2 linked regions of the Oreochromis niloticus genome follow. The protein of the gene in region 2 purifies or fractionates together with the protein of the main gene of each other region. This does not show direct contact. Links are inferred from orthologs where the notes say so. Each region holds a gene or a part of one and is shown on either strand. Other genes may lie near its edges.

Evidence for each region.
Region 1: the proteins of ebna1bp2 (region 2) and ncl purify together in Homo sapiens (affinity purification with mass spectrometry; 3 studies listed by BioGRID and IntAct, with this or other methods). This does not show direct contact. The link is inferred for Oreochromis niloticus from reciprocal best matches to the Homo sapiens genes EBNA1BP2 and NCL.

Annotation. Positions count from the first base shown.
Region 1 is NC_031980.2:34,362,951-34,370,947, forward strand, and holds the start of ncl (nucleolin), read left to right. Parts: upstream 1-4,977; 5' UTR 4,978-5,145; coding exon 5,146-5,163; intron 5,164-6,215; coding exon 6,216-6,317; intron 6,318-6,421; coding exon 6,422-6,527; intron 6,528-6,949; coding exon 6,950-7,084; intron 7,085-7,220; exon of another isoform or gene 7,221-7,360; intron 7,361-7,442; coding exon 7,443-7,697; intron 7,698-7,918; coding exon 7,919-7,997. UniProt on the Homo sapiens protein: Nucleolin is the major nucleolar protein of growing eukaryotic cells. It is found associated with intranucleolar chromatin and pre-ribosomal particles. It induces chromatin decondensation by binding to histone H1.
Region 2 is NC_031981.2:33,035,932-33,043,596, forward strand, and holds ebna1bp2 (putative rRNA-processing protein EBP2), read left to right. Parts: upstream 1-4,652; 5' UTR 4,653-4,786; coding exon 4,787-4,882; intron 4,883-5,150; coding exon 5,151-5,234; intron 5,235-5,423; coding exon 5,424-5,596; intron 5,597-5,839; coding exon 5,840-5,963; intron 5,964-6,268; coding exon 6,269-6,358; intron 6,359-6,469; coding exon 6,470-6,545; intron 6,546-6,663; coding exon 6,664-6,754; intron 6,755-6,872; coding exon 6,873-7,035; intron 7,036-7,126; coding exon 7,127-7,174; 3' UTR 7,175-7,464; downstream 7,465-7,665. UniProt on the Homo sapiens protein: Required for the processing of the 27S pre-rRNA.

The DNA.
Region 1 (7,997 bases), on a different chromosome or scaffold from region 2:
CATTCCATGTGCACTTACATCTTTGATCTCGGTGTCTTTGTGTGTTCCGTGAAACTAGTCAATTCTAGTTGGTGAGCATTTTCTGCCTGGCTTCTGGAGGTTTTGTCAGAAGAGAAACAACGACTGCCCTGCTGTTAGATGGAGCGCCATTCATTTTTATTCAGTTCAATTCAGTTTCATTTCTATGGCGCCAATTCACAAGAAACAGTGACCTCGAAGCGGTTTATGTTGTAAAGACCCTACAATATTAGAAAGAAAAGAAAAACCAAGCAATCATTCGACCCCCTCTTGTTGATGGTGGGAAGAAAAAACTCACTTTTAATAGGAAGAAACCTCCAGAACCAGGCTCAGGGAGGGGCAGCCATCTGCTGTAGCCGGTTGGGTTGATGTTACAAAAGGCACACTTTGGTACAGAGAGCCAGAGTTTAACATTTACTAAAGATTTTATGCTGCTTGGATTTTGAAAAAGTGTTTCAAACATTAGCAAATATCTGAAACTCTGTGTTATCAGATAAAATGTTTATATGAAACAATAAGGATTTGTTGAGTGCTGCATCTATACTGCTGCATTCAACCTAGCATGATCTACCCACACTGTTGAAAGCTCTTGCACAAATTTGCTGCACAAATAGAAGAAAACACTGAAAATTTACATTTTGACTTAAAGCGATCTTTAGAATTCAGGCAATAACACTGTAATCCCAAACCACTAATTAAAAAGATGATAGAAAGCCACTTCCTCCTAATGTTCCTCTAATTCTGTTGCACATTACATCCAGTTACCAGTTGGTAAATTTAAGAGCGATATTATTTAAAATAAGCAGTAAATTCACCTTAAAATTATCCATCCATCCATTCTCTTATGCTTCTCCAATTCATCATGGGGAGGGGGGAGTAAATGGTAAATGGTAAATGGCCTGTATTTATATAGCACCTTACTAGTCCCTAAGGACCCCAAAGCGCTTTACATATCCAGTCATTCACCCATTCACGCACACATTCACACACTGGTGATGGCAAGCTACGTTGTAGCCACAGCCACCCTGGGGCGCACTGACAGAGGCGAGGCTGCCGGACACTGGCGCCACCGGGCCCTCTGACCACCACCAGTAGGCAACGGGTGAAGTGTCTTGCCCAAGGACACAACGACCGAGACTGTCCAAGCTGGGGCTCGAACCGGCAACCTTCCGATTACAAGGCGAACTCCCAACTCTTGAGCCACGATCGCAGGATGTACCGTAGGGTACATCCTGCACAGACAGCCAAACTGTTGCAGGAATAACATACTTTAACATTATATAAAGATGATATATAAGCAAAATGGCTTTTTTATCTCGTAGTTTCCAAACTAAAAGGCTTAAAACAAGACAAGCATATAGAGAAAAGGCCATATACGCGCGATATTAAAAAGGAAAACAAACACACCCAGATTATAATAAAGAAGCATAAAAAAGATAACAAATCGTGCTCAGTTGTGAAACTCTAAAAAGGTCCATTGCTCAAAGATTTCATGGTGTAATTACACAAAAGGGGGTGAGAGCCAGAAAAATACAGAGAGAACACTTTACAAGCTAATTAATACAGTAAAGTCAATGTAAAAGTCTTTTCAAGGATTTCCTTTCTAATACCATGAAACATGATATTTACGGTGTGAGTGTTGTGAATGTGTGCTGACTTTGAGGTTGATACCGATTTGCAAACTGGAGAGAAGTACAACTGACAGAAGCAAACCGAGAGTGCACGTGTACTGTGAAAACACATTTGTAATTATAAATTAGATGTGCTTGTCTCTTTTTTGTGAACCTATATTATTGACTGTAGGATGGTCAAATTCATAGTAACACAACTTTAAACACACACACATACAAAACAGGCCCTGAGGCTGTTGATCGGCTGGGGTTATCCCACAAAACCATTTCTAGGGTTTATAGAGAAGTTTCTAAAAAAAAAAAACATCCAGTGAGCAGCAGTTCTCTAGATGAAAATGTCTTCTTGATTACAAAGGATCAAGGCAGAATTGGAGACTGTTTTGAGCTGACAGGAAGGCAACAGTACCTCCAATAAACATTTGTTACAACTAAGGTATGCAGAAGAGCATGCACAACATGTTGAACCTTGAAGAAGATGTGCCACAGCAGCAGAAGACCGCAAAAGCTGCCACTCTTGTCAGGTAAGAACAGGAAACTGAGGCTATAGTTCACACAGGCTCAACAAAAATGGACAATGGCAGACTGAAAAAATGTAAACTGGTCTGATCGGTCATCATTTGGATGGTAGGATCAAAATCTGGCATGCAAGCATGCATCCATCCTACTTTGTATCAGTGATTCAGCTTGATGCACTGGTGAGAGGGATATTTTCTTGGCACACTTTGGGCCCCTTGTGTCCACCTGTGTATTGTTGCTGACCATGTGCATCCCTTTATGACCATCTTCTGAAGAATGCTTCTAAGAGGATAACGAGTCACAAAGCTCAAATCACCCAAATCTGTTTTTCTCAACATGAGTTCATTGTATTGAGAAAGCCTGTGCATTCACCAAATCTCAGCCCAGTAGAACACATTTGGGATGTGATGGATTGGAAAATTCACATCATGGATGTGATGCTGACAAACTGCAACAACTGTGTGACGCTATCGTGTCAATATGGACCAAAATCTCTGAAGAGTGTTTCCAGCACCTTGTTGAATCTATATCATGAACAATTAAAAGCAAAAAGGGCTCCGGTCCAACCTTGTAGTGGAAAGACATAACTAATGAAGTGGCATTGATGCAGAGGGATTGAATCTTCCCATTTCCTGAACATAGGGAGCCAGGGATACCCCTTCATGGAAAACATTACTAAGAAATAAAATGAAAGGGCTGTAAAGACAATGGGAAATTCTGTGCATCTTTCCTTTGTGATTTTGTATTCTTTTAGTACCATATCACCCCATTAGGGCTCTTCGCTCTCAGACTGCTGGTTTACTTGTTGTTCCTAGAGTATTTAAAGGTAGAATGGGAGGCAGAGCCTTCAGCTTTCAGGCCCTTCTTCAGCTTCCAATTTGGATTTGGAAGACAGACACTATCTCTACTTTTAAGATTAGGCTTAAAACTTTCCATTTGATAAAGCATATCAGGTGAATCAGGTGACCCTGAATCCTCCCTTAGTTATGCTGCAATAGGTGTAGGCTCCTGGGGGATTCCCATGATGCACTGAATGTTTCTTCTTCAGTCACCTTTTTCACTCACTGTGTTTAAACACATCTTTGTATTCAATTATCATTAATCTCTGGCTCTTTTCCACATCATGTCTTTGTCCTGTCTTCATCCATTTACCTTCAACCGGTCGCAGCAGATTGGTGCCCCTCCTTGAGCATTGTTCTACTGGGGGTTTCTTCCTGATAAAAGCTAGTTTTTCCTTCCCACTGTTGCCAAAGCGCTTGCTCATAGGGGGTCATATGATTGTTGCTGAAAGACAGCAGTGAATAATTGGACAAGAGTCAGAGTGACAGGAGGGTTTTTGCAAAGAGGCATACCTGTTCATTCTGCAAATTCAGCATAGACACTGCTGTGTAGTTGTATGTACCTTTGTTAACTCAATATGGCAATTTCAGTAGCTCTTTTTCTTTTGTTGTTGTTGTTTTTTTGTTTTGTTTTTTACACAAAAACAGTTTTTTCAGTTATACTGATATGCTTTAAAACCACCAACAGTGGGACGACTGTAATAACAGTCAACTACAGTTGTGATCACAAGTCCAGAATGTCACAGCAAGACTAAGAAAAGGGGGAAAAGTTGGACAGAATGCAACATTTTGTACAGGTAGACAGGTAGAACAATGGCTACTCTGTGAGCTTTCTGACTACAAAAGATATTGAAGTTCGAGAGAATGGTTAGATTATCATTATTTTCATTATTATCATTATTATTACAAAGAAGAAGGGACCAATAAAGTTACATTATCTTTCTCAAATCAAAGGTAGCTGTAATTCACTGAGACTAGTCTGTAAGACCGAGTGATGTTAAATGCAATGCTGCCTCTGTGTGGTGTTGAGGGTTAATTACTCAAACGTGCTCTTCATGTTGCCCTGGGAATCAGCCGGCTGGCTCCAGGATTCAATTGTGCAACAGAAAAACAATGTATGAATATTTACATTTAAAATTATCTACAATGTAAAAGTGGTAACTTAATGGCGATTAAAAAGAGGTTCATTCACTGCAGAAAAAAAAGCCTAAATATTATTATTATTATCATTTTAAATCTACCAAAAAGGCAACAAACACCTATTGCTTACATCCTTCCTGTGTGTAGTCATCCATGCAAAGGCAAACTCTGAGCATGGAAAACCCCTGCATAGAGGGGTTTTTTTATTTTTAAGTTTTATTTAAATGTATACAGTTACATGAAATACATGTACTAAAACTGGACTGAACTACTATGTATACCCCCACTTTGAAGTATTTAGATTATACTATACTATACTAGTTGGGAACTATCACTGTTCACTGTGTAGCGTGTACCTCGTGGTGGACTACACGTGGTTGATAGTTTGGCAACCGTGCCGAACCACGTGGCCATGTAAACAGCTGTATGGTATATGTGACAATAAGCTGTATATGGTTTATGTAGCGTTAAGTCCGGGAAATTGCCGAAAATAGTTTTCTTTAACATTTTAACTGTAAACATCTATAACTATACGTATATTAAAAACAAAACCATGATAATAATAATAATGATATAATAACAATGTAAATAATACATGTTCATGTTAAATACAGACTGTCATAACATTGACTTTAAAGGTTAAACACGGTAGATTTGACAGTGCTGCCTAGTATTTTTGTCATGTATTTAGTGATATAGTGAGACGAGAATAGTTATACAGTATTTCCTTGGAGTAGTAAAATTCAATGTTTCCTGTATGTGGGGTGAGGCGCGGGCACGACGCAAATACATTAGCTTGTGATTGGTAGAGACAGTCATGTGGGCGGGTCGGCGAGAGCGCGCGAAGAAGGGGAGTACAGAGCGAGTCTTCGTCGTCTCTGTCTTTCCTGTCCAATGTCCCATCGAGTAGGCAGGTCCACGTGCATACATTAGCTATTCTTTTTTAAATTCATCTTCAGACGTCCAGCTTCTCGTGTTTTATTGAAACACACAACAGCACAATGGTGAAGTTAGCAAAGGTAAGATTACGTCATTCTATTTTAAAATAGTGCGTGCGTTTGTGATAGAAAGAGGGCTTGTGTTTACGCACGAGGCCTTTAAGCAGAAGTTGGTGCGTTTGTTAAAAAACGGGGGGTGAACTCGCGGAAAAAGAAAATGTCCGCTCAGGTAAAGCTGCGATTGTCGCCTCTTTTTTTTTTTTTTTTTTTTTTTTTTTTTAAATTAATCAACATGGTGGTGGTGTTGCCGCATTTACTACGCCTTTTTCGTTTGCGATCAGCCATGTTTGTGCCTCGCTTTTGGCTCTCTGGCCTGCTAAGCTAAACTGCTGCTTAGTGTGGATTTCGTGCGCGCTCTCGATTTAAGTATGGCGTATAAAAAGACTTAAACAAAATCAATTTATAGCCAGCCTGCCAACCTGTACCAACATTTGTTAGAAAACTATTGTAAAAACCGAAAATTTGAGCACGCGGCTAGCTTAACAACTAGCATTAGCGTATTCATACCCGGACTTGATTCTAATTTCCTTCATTTTGTGGAAATAATGGTAGTTCTCGGTGTTAAGTTTAAACTGTCCCACTTAAACACTTTCTGTCATGTAATGGACTTTCTGGATAACTGTTCGGCATATGTTTATATATATATAATTCTTTTTTTAATGCTTGTCAGCAAATGGTAAAATTACCCAGCATGCTAGCTGACCGACCTCTAGAGCTCCACGTGGGTTCTGCGCCTGCTCTGAGTGACACACGAGGCAAGCAACCAAAACCGAGAAAATCCATCGGCGAGCTCATGTGTAATTTGAGTGGCTTATTTTAAACTCACGTGACCGTTTGCCGTTGATGATTTAAATATTGTACCAGCAGCACGGCTCTCCTGTTTTATATTTTAACCGTGGAATTCCACGTGGCCTAAAGCCCCTCATGTTTGCGGACATGCTGCAGCGGGTGCCATGATTGTTAGACCCTCTTCTTTACCGGAATCTATGCTTGGCTACTTGTAGGCTCCATTATTGTTGGGTTTTAAAAACATTGGTAATAACAGTTTTTGCATTTTGGGATTTCTTTTGAAGGCAGCAAATAAGCAAGCAGCTCAGAAGAAAAAGGCCCCTCCACCCCCCAAAGAAGTGGAGGAGGAATCCAGCGAAGAGGACAGCAGTGATGAGGAAGAAGAGGTACATAGACTTTGACTCAAGTATTTTATGGCTAGAAAAAAATATTTAAAATGTGGTATTAAGTGTTTTTATTTTTGTATTTTTTTTTTTTTTTAATACTGCAGGCTCCACCACCTAAAGCGGTGAAGAAAGCCACACCAGCCAAAGGCACCAAAGTTGTTGGAAATGGCACTCCTGCCAAAAAAGCAGAAAGTGAAGATGATGATTCTGGTAAGTAATAAAGGACCAAAACGAAACTAATTGAATGATACTCATATTTCACATAACTCACATAATCAATTGGGCTTTAATATATAGAGATTGACCTATTGTGTGTGTTTTGGTGTTTAAGGATCATCCAAATGTTAGAAAGTGAGTCCCTCGAACTTTGAGCGATGCCTGATGCATTTAATAGTTATAAATGTGTTGCTTTTGACATTTTAGTTACAACAGTGAAACAGATGGTCTTTAGAAAGAAAACCTTCGAAGTTATGAAAGCTGCTGTTTCCATTTAACTGGTGAATGTGTCGTGTTGTCCAAATTTATAATATACGTTCTTGATCTAAATAAATAGGGTAAAACTTCACACTGTACATCATTCTTAAAGTAAGCATAATATTGCCTAAGACAATTTTGCTATTTATCATATATAGATGAATCATCAGAGGAGGAGGCCCCCCCACCAAAGAAGACACCTGCAAAGGCAACTCCAGCCAAAAAAGCACCAGCTAAGGCAGCTGCTGCAAAAGCAGAGGAGTCAGATGATGACGATGATGATGAGGAGGATGGTAAGGCTTTTGGTATTGTGTGACTGATAGTAATTACTGTTGTACTGTGTTTTTAACAAAACTGTTGATGGCTTCATTTTAATCTGATCCAAGCATTTGTGCTAACAATCTGATGATGTAATGCGTCCCAAAACATCCTCCATTTCTTGGCATGCATGTGGTTGTTTAGTACTCATGTGTGTAATGTACGGAGGAAAAACAAAGACAGCGCTATGTCTTCGGTACCGGTGTGTATTTGACTGTCTGCCGGTCCTATCCTCAATCGCTGTTACAACCTAATGCCCTGTTTTGAACTCTGAAGAGGTTTTGTTGAAAATTTTCTGCAATTAAAACGAAAGCTCGTGTTTTTCTTGTCTAGATGAGTCTGAAGAAGAGGCCCCACCACCCAAGAAGGCAGCCAAGCCAGCTGCTAAGCCTGCAGCAAAGCCCCCAGTGAAGGCTCAGCCTGCAAAGGAGTCCTCTGATGATGACGACGACGATGATGATGACGAGTCAGAAGAGGAAGCCCCTCCCCCCAAGAAGGCTACTCCAGCAAAGCCAGCTGCCAAGGCTGCAAAGGCTCAGCCTGCTAAAGAAGAGTCATCTGAAGAAGATGATGATGAAGACGATGATGGTAAGACTGAGCCTCGCATTTCTCTTTTTTGTTTTTAACAGGAGCCATTGTCTTTGAAAATAGTTAACACTGTATGATGATCAACAAGGGACTTAATACTGATCACGTATGATGTCACCTTTTGAACTATCTGACCCACAGTAATACTCGTTTTCAATGCATTTGAATTCGGCCACAGTTACTGTGAGATTCACGTCATTGGCAATGATTCTGCTTTTTAGACTCTGAAGAGGAAATGGACACTACTCCTGCTCCAGCAGCCACCAAGGCAAAGAAAGCAGGCATGGTTAAAGCCAAGGA
Region 2 (7,665 bases):
TCAAATGGTAAGGGTGGGAAGAAAGTGCAAACAGAAAATATGAGAAATGAGCAACAACAAACAATAAATATAAAAGAGATTTTTAGAGAAAGTAAACTCAAATCAGAATGTAACTTCCAAAAGTCAAAAATGCCCGGGGCACAGGAAGAGAAGGCAAAAGCATCTGGTGAACATGGTAAAAACTCTGCCTGGAAATATGAACACACTGATATTAGCGATCGCCGTAGTGTCTAAATAGGACTTCACAAATGCCACAGGGCTGCTGTTTTCTTTACTGGGGGTATGGCACAACAAAAAGCACAACATGAGCCATGGCATCATCCTCAAATTTAGCTTTGTAGTAATAATATTTGATCTTGAAAAGACTGGCAACATTATAGATGTAAGCCCATTCCTTGGAGGTCACACATGCTACCTGCTTAATACATCTCCTCATGGTTGACAGACAACAGAATATGGCTACTGTGTGGCTAGAGTAATACATGGGTATAGGCCGACTCTTTAGCAGTCAACTCACAGATGTTTTGATGGATGGAGAAGGAATGGATATCCACTCAAGAAAGGACAGATCAAGACAAAATGACCTAAAATACTTTTCCCAGTAATTCATCCAGTGTTGTTTACTTGCACATCCCTAAATCTCCTTAGGCTGATTGAGAGCCATAGGAGCTGAAGCACTCAGCCATCTTAGGCCCAGACATTCATGACTGTATTATTGTTTTTTTGTCCAATCCTCCAGCAACCAGGAATAACTCCAAAAGAGGAGCTTGACAGAGTGAATCCAACTTATTTTCAATCTGGTGTCAGGAAGCAGTCTGTTGCCCTGATATGAAGAGTGACAGCAGAATGGGAATTTAATAGACCGCATTTCTGTCTGGCTCAAGCGATTACAATGACAGAAATGTAAATTATGGGGGGTTTTTTTCTCCTTTTGAAGATGTCTCAGAGCAGGGCTCTGACCATGCAGAGAATGGAAGAATTAAGGGTGGTGATGTTCAAATTGTAGAAATCGATTTCCATCAGAATAGAATGAATGTCACTCTCAGGGGGGCTCAGACAGCCTCTGCTTTGAGGACTAGGAGGATAAAACACTGAAAGAGGCCGATGACATCTCAAATGAACAGCGGCTGTCAGCACAGAAGTCCCCAGTCTACTTCCTATCCTGCCCATCTGGTATTAGTGATAGCGAAACTTCTCTAACCTGCTGAGCTGTGAAATAAACAAAATTTGCATGGTTTAATACCAAACTAAATGTCTCATTAATATGCTAAAGTGACATGAAAAGATCATTCTTCATCATCAGTGTACATAGAAATCAGTTTGTTACTGCTAATTATTACATCTACAGTCATGGTAAGAAATATAAAGTGAACTCTCTTTAAATTCCAGTGTAGTAAATATAATCTGTCCACCAGTACTGCTTCCATAGGAATGAAGATAGTAAGTAGCAGCCAGGTGCTGATAATCAAATGCACTTGAGTCATAAGAAAGTGTGACCACCTCTTTGAAAGCTTTGGCAGTTTTCTGACCTGAAGCAGTCAGGTGAATTAGCACCGTGCCAAGGAAGAAAGACATCAGCAACAATCTTGAAGAAGCAACTGTTGCTCCCCATCAATCTAGAAATGGTTAAGGGCCATTTCCAAACAATTTGAAGTCTATCATTCTGCAGTGAGAAAGATTATTCACAAGTGGAAAACATGACACATTCATGACAGCTACCAATCTTTTCAGGAGTGGATTTGCCAGCAAATTCATCCCAAGGTCAGACTGTGCAATGCTCAGAAAACCTGAAAGAGCCAAAGTCTACATCTCAGACTCTACAAGCATCAGTCAGCATCTTAAATGTTAAAGTTCATGGAAAAACAATCAGCAAATGGCACAAGTATGGCTCTTCTCTCTAAACAGAACATGGCACCATTGCTTAGGTTTGCAAAGTCCGAACAAACCACAAAATGTCTAAAACAATGTATTTTGGATAGATGAGGCCAAAAAGGTGGCGTTTGGATAGAAGAAAGCCAAACACAGCATATCAGCACAAACACCTCATGGGGTGAAGATTTAGGCTTGTTTTGCAGCAACAGGCCCTGGACACCTTGTAGTCATTGAGTCAACCACGAGCTTCTCTGTATAATAAAATATTCTAAAGTCACACATGAGGTCATCTGTCTGACAGCTCAAGCTTGGGTCAACAGAAGAACAACCTCAAGCACAGCAGCAAATCTACAACAGAATTACTGAAAAAGAAAAGAATCAAGGTGTTGCAATGGTCCAGCCAAAGTCCAGACTTCAAACTGATAGAAATGCTCTAGCTGGACCAAAAGACAGCTGTGCATAAATGCCCACAAACCTCAATGAACTGAAGCAGCCTTGTAAGACAGGTGAGCCAAAATTTCTTTGTTACAATGTGAGAGACATATAGTCACTCCGGAAATTATAACTTCAAGTTACAGGTCTACAAGCTATTAAACAATTGGCTCTACTCAGTTTTTAACACATTTCTTCTGCATTTTGGCTCAGTGTAATATATCAGGTGTTGTTGTCTGTCCAAGGTTGCATTTACTTAATTTTAAGACTGGGTAAGGACCAGATGACGTTTTATTAACTGTGTCTTTTCACCATCACTGTATGTTCTAATTATTACAACTGTTATTCTAACACATTTCTGCAAGACTACTCTGAGCTTTCCTGACAAATCAAAGTAATGTCAGTAAGCCTGTAAAGTTGGATCACTTTTGTAGTCCAGGTGTCGTGAAAACGAGCCGCTTATTAAGAAGAAAGCTGTTCATGTTGCTATTAGTCAATCTCAAATGCAACCTTCAAAGAGATAATGAATTTAACTTTCAGTAACATAGATAAGAGCAGCAGTGTCATGTAAAGAGAAAAAAAGTTAGGATAAAATAGGCAAAATATTAAAATACTGCATTAGTTCCAGATTCAATATCTTTTGATGTTTTTTAGTTATTTGAATGGCGTATGAAAGCGAAGATCAAAGATGCTATGTGCTGTTTTGTTCAGTTAGCAGTTCTGATGCACAGTGCATAAGATAGGACACCAGCAACCACCCAGGTAATGACCACACAAAACAGTTTCAATATAGGGATATGTCTTATATTTTTCTTTAAGTTACATTCACACTGAGAAACCTGGAGACCACATAAAACAATGAAAAAAGGCAAAGATACTGTCTGTCTGATTCTGCTTTACTTTCTGGGTGATTATTGATTATCTGTTTCTTTGCTATGTGGCTATAATAAAGGTTTGCAATTACCTTGTCTTCCAAAGAAAACCATATCTGTTTAGCAGCATAAACATAACACAGCTAACCATTAATTGCATTTAGGAGTGTTTTACTCCTCACCACCCGAAAGGGTAAATTATCTCTTAGACTAAGTCTTAGTTTTAGTATGCACACTTTAAAGAATGTCAGCTCTTCGCCTTGCCCTTGGTATGGTTGAGATCCTTGCTTGACCACTTGAGATGAATCCCTTTCAAGTGACATTTTGAGTAAGATCAACTTACTTCCATGGTCACAGGCAAAGCACACCATTAGCATTCAGCACATACGCACTCTGGTTCTAACTGCAAGCCCTTCACTCTACAACTGCTACGTGACCACATAAGATGAACACAAACTGTCCTTCGCTAACATTAAAGTGAATGATTGTGACTCCCATTGGAAGTACTCTTCGGTTTTGGACATTTCAATGCTGATGGCCTTTGCATACGGCATATCCACTGGTTTCTCTCGGGTGCTAATCAAAATGTGTGTGATGTGCACTGGAGAGTTTAAAGAAAAAAGTTCCTTGGGTAGCATGACTAAAGAGGAAAGGATCACAGGCAGAGATCTGTATGTTAAAGACACACACAGGCTACATCCCAAGAAATAAACAATAAAAGAATTTATTTAATTTTGAATGTCTAATGAATGCAGAAACAAACTTTACTCAGAGCACCAGATTTTGGGCTGTCCTGATTTTCCCCACAGACAAAATGTTCATTGACAGTGACACTGGGCCAAAAACGCAGACATTTTTCTCAGTCGTGCCATGTCAAAGTGACAGAAATCGACTCAGGAATTGAGTAATGGAAAAGAAATGTCGATAGTTTCTGTCTTGATGAGGTGGCAAGTGAAAATCCTGAGTCTTCCTTTACACAATAGGAAAAGATTTAAAGTAGAATCTCTAAATTGACGTTAGACTGTAAAGTTCTCATATCGACCCATCCACTGTACTTTCCAGTCTGCGCAGGTGTACAACATCTCCTCTAAGAGGACTTATTTGATATTACACACTAGACGTAACGGAAACGTGTTTTCGTCAAAGACCGTAGACTTTTATACAGTCATTGGTTTTCGTAAACCACCCAAGGCATTTTATTTTATATGTTAAATCAAATTTAAAGACTGGAATGGAATTCAAAACAACATTTTTATCTATATGAAAAGCGGAGATTTCAATGAAATAAGATGATACGTGACTAAAGTTGCATCAGAAACTCTTCAACGAGCGAATCGGACATTGAGTTATCGGATAGTGTGACTTAAACGTTATTTACTTCTGTATTTTTTATTTTTTATTTATTTATTTACTTTTTCTGCGTTGGAATTTTTTCCGGGTAGGAACGATTATTTTTACACTTTTTATCCCCCGGCGAACTGAATAGGTAGGACGTTCAGAGGCGTCACTTCCGCTCCACGTGAAAGGCTCCTTATACTCCATGTGAGGAGCACTGTATATCCGAGGCGTATTTTACGTTTTAATATTGATAGTTCGCATATAGTCATCTCATGGTTATCGGCAGCAAGACTATGGCGTTCGTAGAGGAAGAGGCGCTGCTCGGTCAGGATTCAGAGGAGGAAAACAGTGAATTATCGGACGATGAGGTCAGTTTCCTAACATGCTAGCATCGTTAGCTAACCACATTCCTATTAAGTATTAGGGTTTTAAACGTCACTGTGCCTGCTGTTTATAAAGTTAATCAAACAAACAGAGACCTGGTACTATTATCAGTGTCGGAATCTTTATTTTTCTAATCAAGCTTTTTAGATAGCACGAAAGTTCACGTTTAGTAGGACCGTGTAGTCTTGCTGTAGCAAGTGGTGGTTTAGATAAGTCAGAGTTAATATTATTCATCTTCATTTCATTGCCCAGCTGCAAGAAGCCTTCGCAGCGGGGTTGTTGAAGCCTGGGATGAACGTTCTGGTGGATAAACCGAAAAAGTTAGTCAACAATGTGGTGAGTGGCATCTCACATCTTCTGTTAGTAGCAAGTTATGCTACACAGGGATGATCAACGTACTATAAACAACCATACCACTGTAATAGTTTTAAAGCAGCAATGGAACGGTTCTCGAAATTCCCTGTAAAGTGAATATAATAATATTGTTACTTGTTGTACCTTTATTGATCCTATGTTGTCACACAGGAGGGGTTGAAACAGTGTCTTGCTGATTTTCGTAAAGATCTTCCCTGGGTGGAGAGATTGGATCTGACCAACCTACCAGCTGCAAATATAATTTCTCAAGCTGAAGAGAAAGCTTCAGCGCCAGCCGCTGGAGAACTGGATGCTGATGATGATTTCCAGAGGGAGATGTTCTTGTACGTGACTGTTAATTTAGCTCAGTTTTATTTAAAGCATCACATATGCTTGTATTTTGTAACCACACTAATATAGTTTGGTTACGAGTCAGACAAAGAAATCACTTTTTTCAGCTAAAGAGTTACAAACATGCATACAGTGTTGAATGTTTTAGAGAATAGCCTAAAAAAAAATGCTGCAAAAATACAACACAGCTACAAAGAGACCATTCCAATTCTTTGGTGTTTTTTGTTAATTTACAGCTACCGTCAAGCTCAGGCTACAATCCTCGAGGCAATGCCACTTCTAAACAGGCACAGCATAGCCACCAAGAGGCCCGAAGACTACTTTGCAGAGATGGCCAAATCTGATCAGCATATGCAGAAGGTGAGCCTGGTCTCCTTTATAATGATGCAGGTTCAGTTTTGACAAATATGTTTAAAGCTCAAACTGTATTTCATTACATTAAACCAGCAAAGCATCAGCTGTTTGCTTTTTTTTTTCTCCTTACATGTTCCATAAAACCTGAAACACATAATTACAGTGATGTTGGAATCTAAGTATTAGTTCTCACCCAGATAGTAAAGTAATTAACATTTCTTTGCACCTACTGGTTCAGGACCTGAGTTTAGTTGTTCTTTTGTTCTGTCAGGCTTATATTCATATACCTTTTCATGTGTTGGTCTGTTCAGATCAGGAAAAAGCTGATCTCAAAGCAGATGATTATGGAGAGGTCAGAAAAGGCCAAGAAACTGCGTGAGCAAAGGAAGTTTGGCAAAAAGGTTGGTGACTGAGTTTAGAAATTCTTCTTAACACCTGTAAATGTTATATGTGTATGATACTTCGACTGTACATGGCTAAAAGACTGACTCTAATTTTGAATTTTTTGCCAGGTCCAAATAGAAGTGATCCAGAAGAGACAGCAGGAGAAGAAGGCCATGATGTCCGCTGTAAAGAAATACCAGAAGGGTGGGTGTTTACAAGTGTAGCATGGACGTTATTTCCTTATTTCTTTTATCGTTTTGTCACTATACCACTGTGGGTGCATCACTTATTGAGCACTGAGAACAACATCTTCTCTTTCTAGGAATGACCGACAAACTGGAATTCTTGGAAGGTGACCAGAAGATGAATAAAGAATCTTCTCAGGGCTCAAAGAAAGCAGTGAACAAAAAGGGGTAAGTTTGAACAGCAGTGCACACAGCAGTCATTGCTTATTTTTTTCTTTGCTCCCACTTCAGATTTGTGGTATTTTTAAAATGAAATTCACAATTTCCCTTCTTTTTTTTTCTACAGGCCCAGCGCTAAGAGAAAATACAAGGACCAGAAGTTTGGCTTTGGAGGCAAAAAGAGTGGAAAGAAGTGGAACACCAAGGAAAGCTACAACGATGTTTCCGGTTTCCGTGCCAAAATAGCTCACGGCAAGGGAGGGAAGAAGGGGAAAGGAGGAAAACAAAATGTGAGTCTCTCACACACACAGTTAGCCATTGACAGTTTTATTCAAATCAGTCAATAAAAAAACAAATAATTTCTTTCTCTTTGACTCCCAGAAACGTCCAGGCAAGTCTGTGCGCAAGAAGATGAAGAATCGCTCTTAGAGACTGGCGGGCTGCTCAGCAGACTGGACTTTGCTCTCTGCTTTTTGGCAGGATTTGCCTTAAGGGACTATGAGCTCTTCTTCTACATTTTTTGGTACAATATACCTTTCGTACATGCATCTGGATTGATATGGAGGTCCATATTAATCATATTCAAACCACAGATGGACTGAGTCCGATCTTACAGCTGGGGAAGTTATTCAAAGGGCCTGTAAAGCCAAGAATGGACTGCACACAGCTCCAAAATACAGAGCTTTCCTAAGTTTGAGGACAATGTTATTTGCTGTATATACACTGATATTTGCATCTGTGGCTGCAGTTGTCCCTACCCTAAGGTGGTTTTAGATCCACTCTCTGTGATTACACCTCAGTATCTCCACCTTCTCAATGACACACTGTTCTCCTGAGGTTTGTGTGTTGTTTTACTTTTCTCACTCAGCTTTTTGACTCATTGATTCTCTCCCATGTTACATGACATTTTATAATATTGA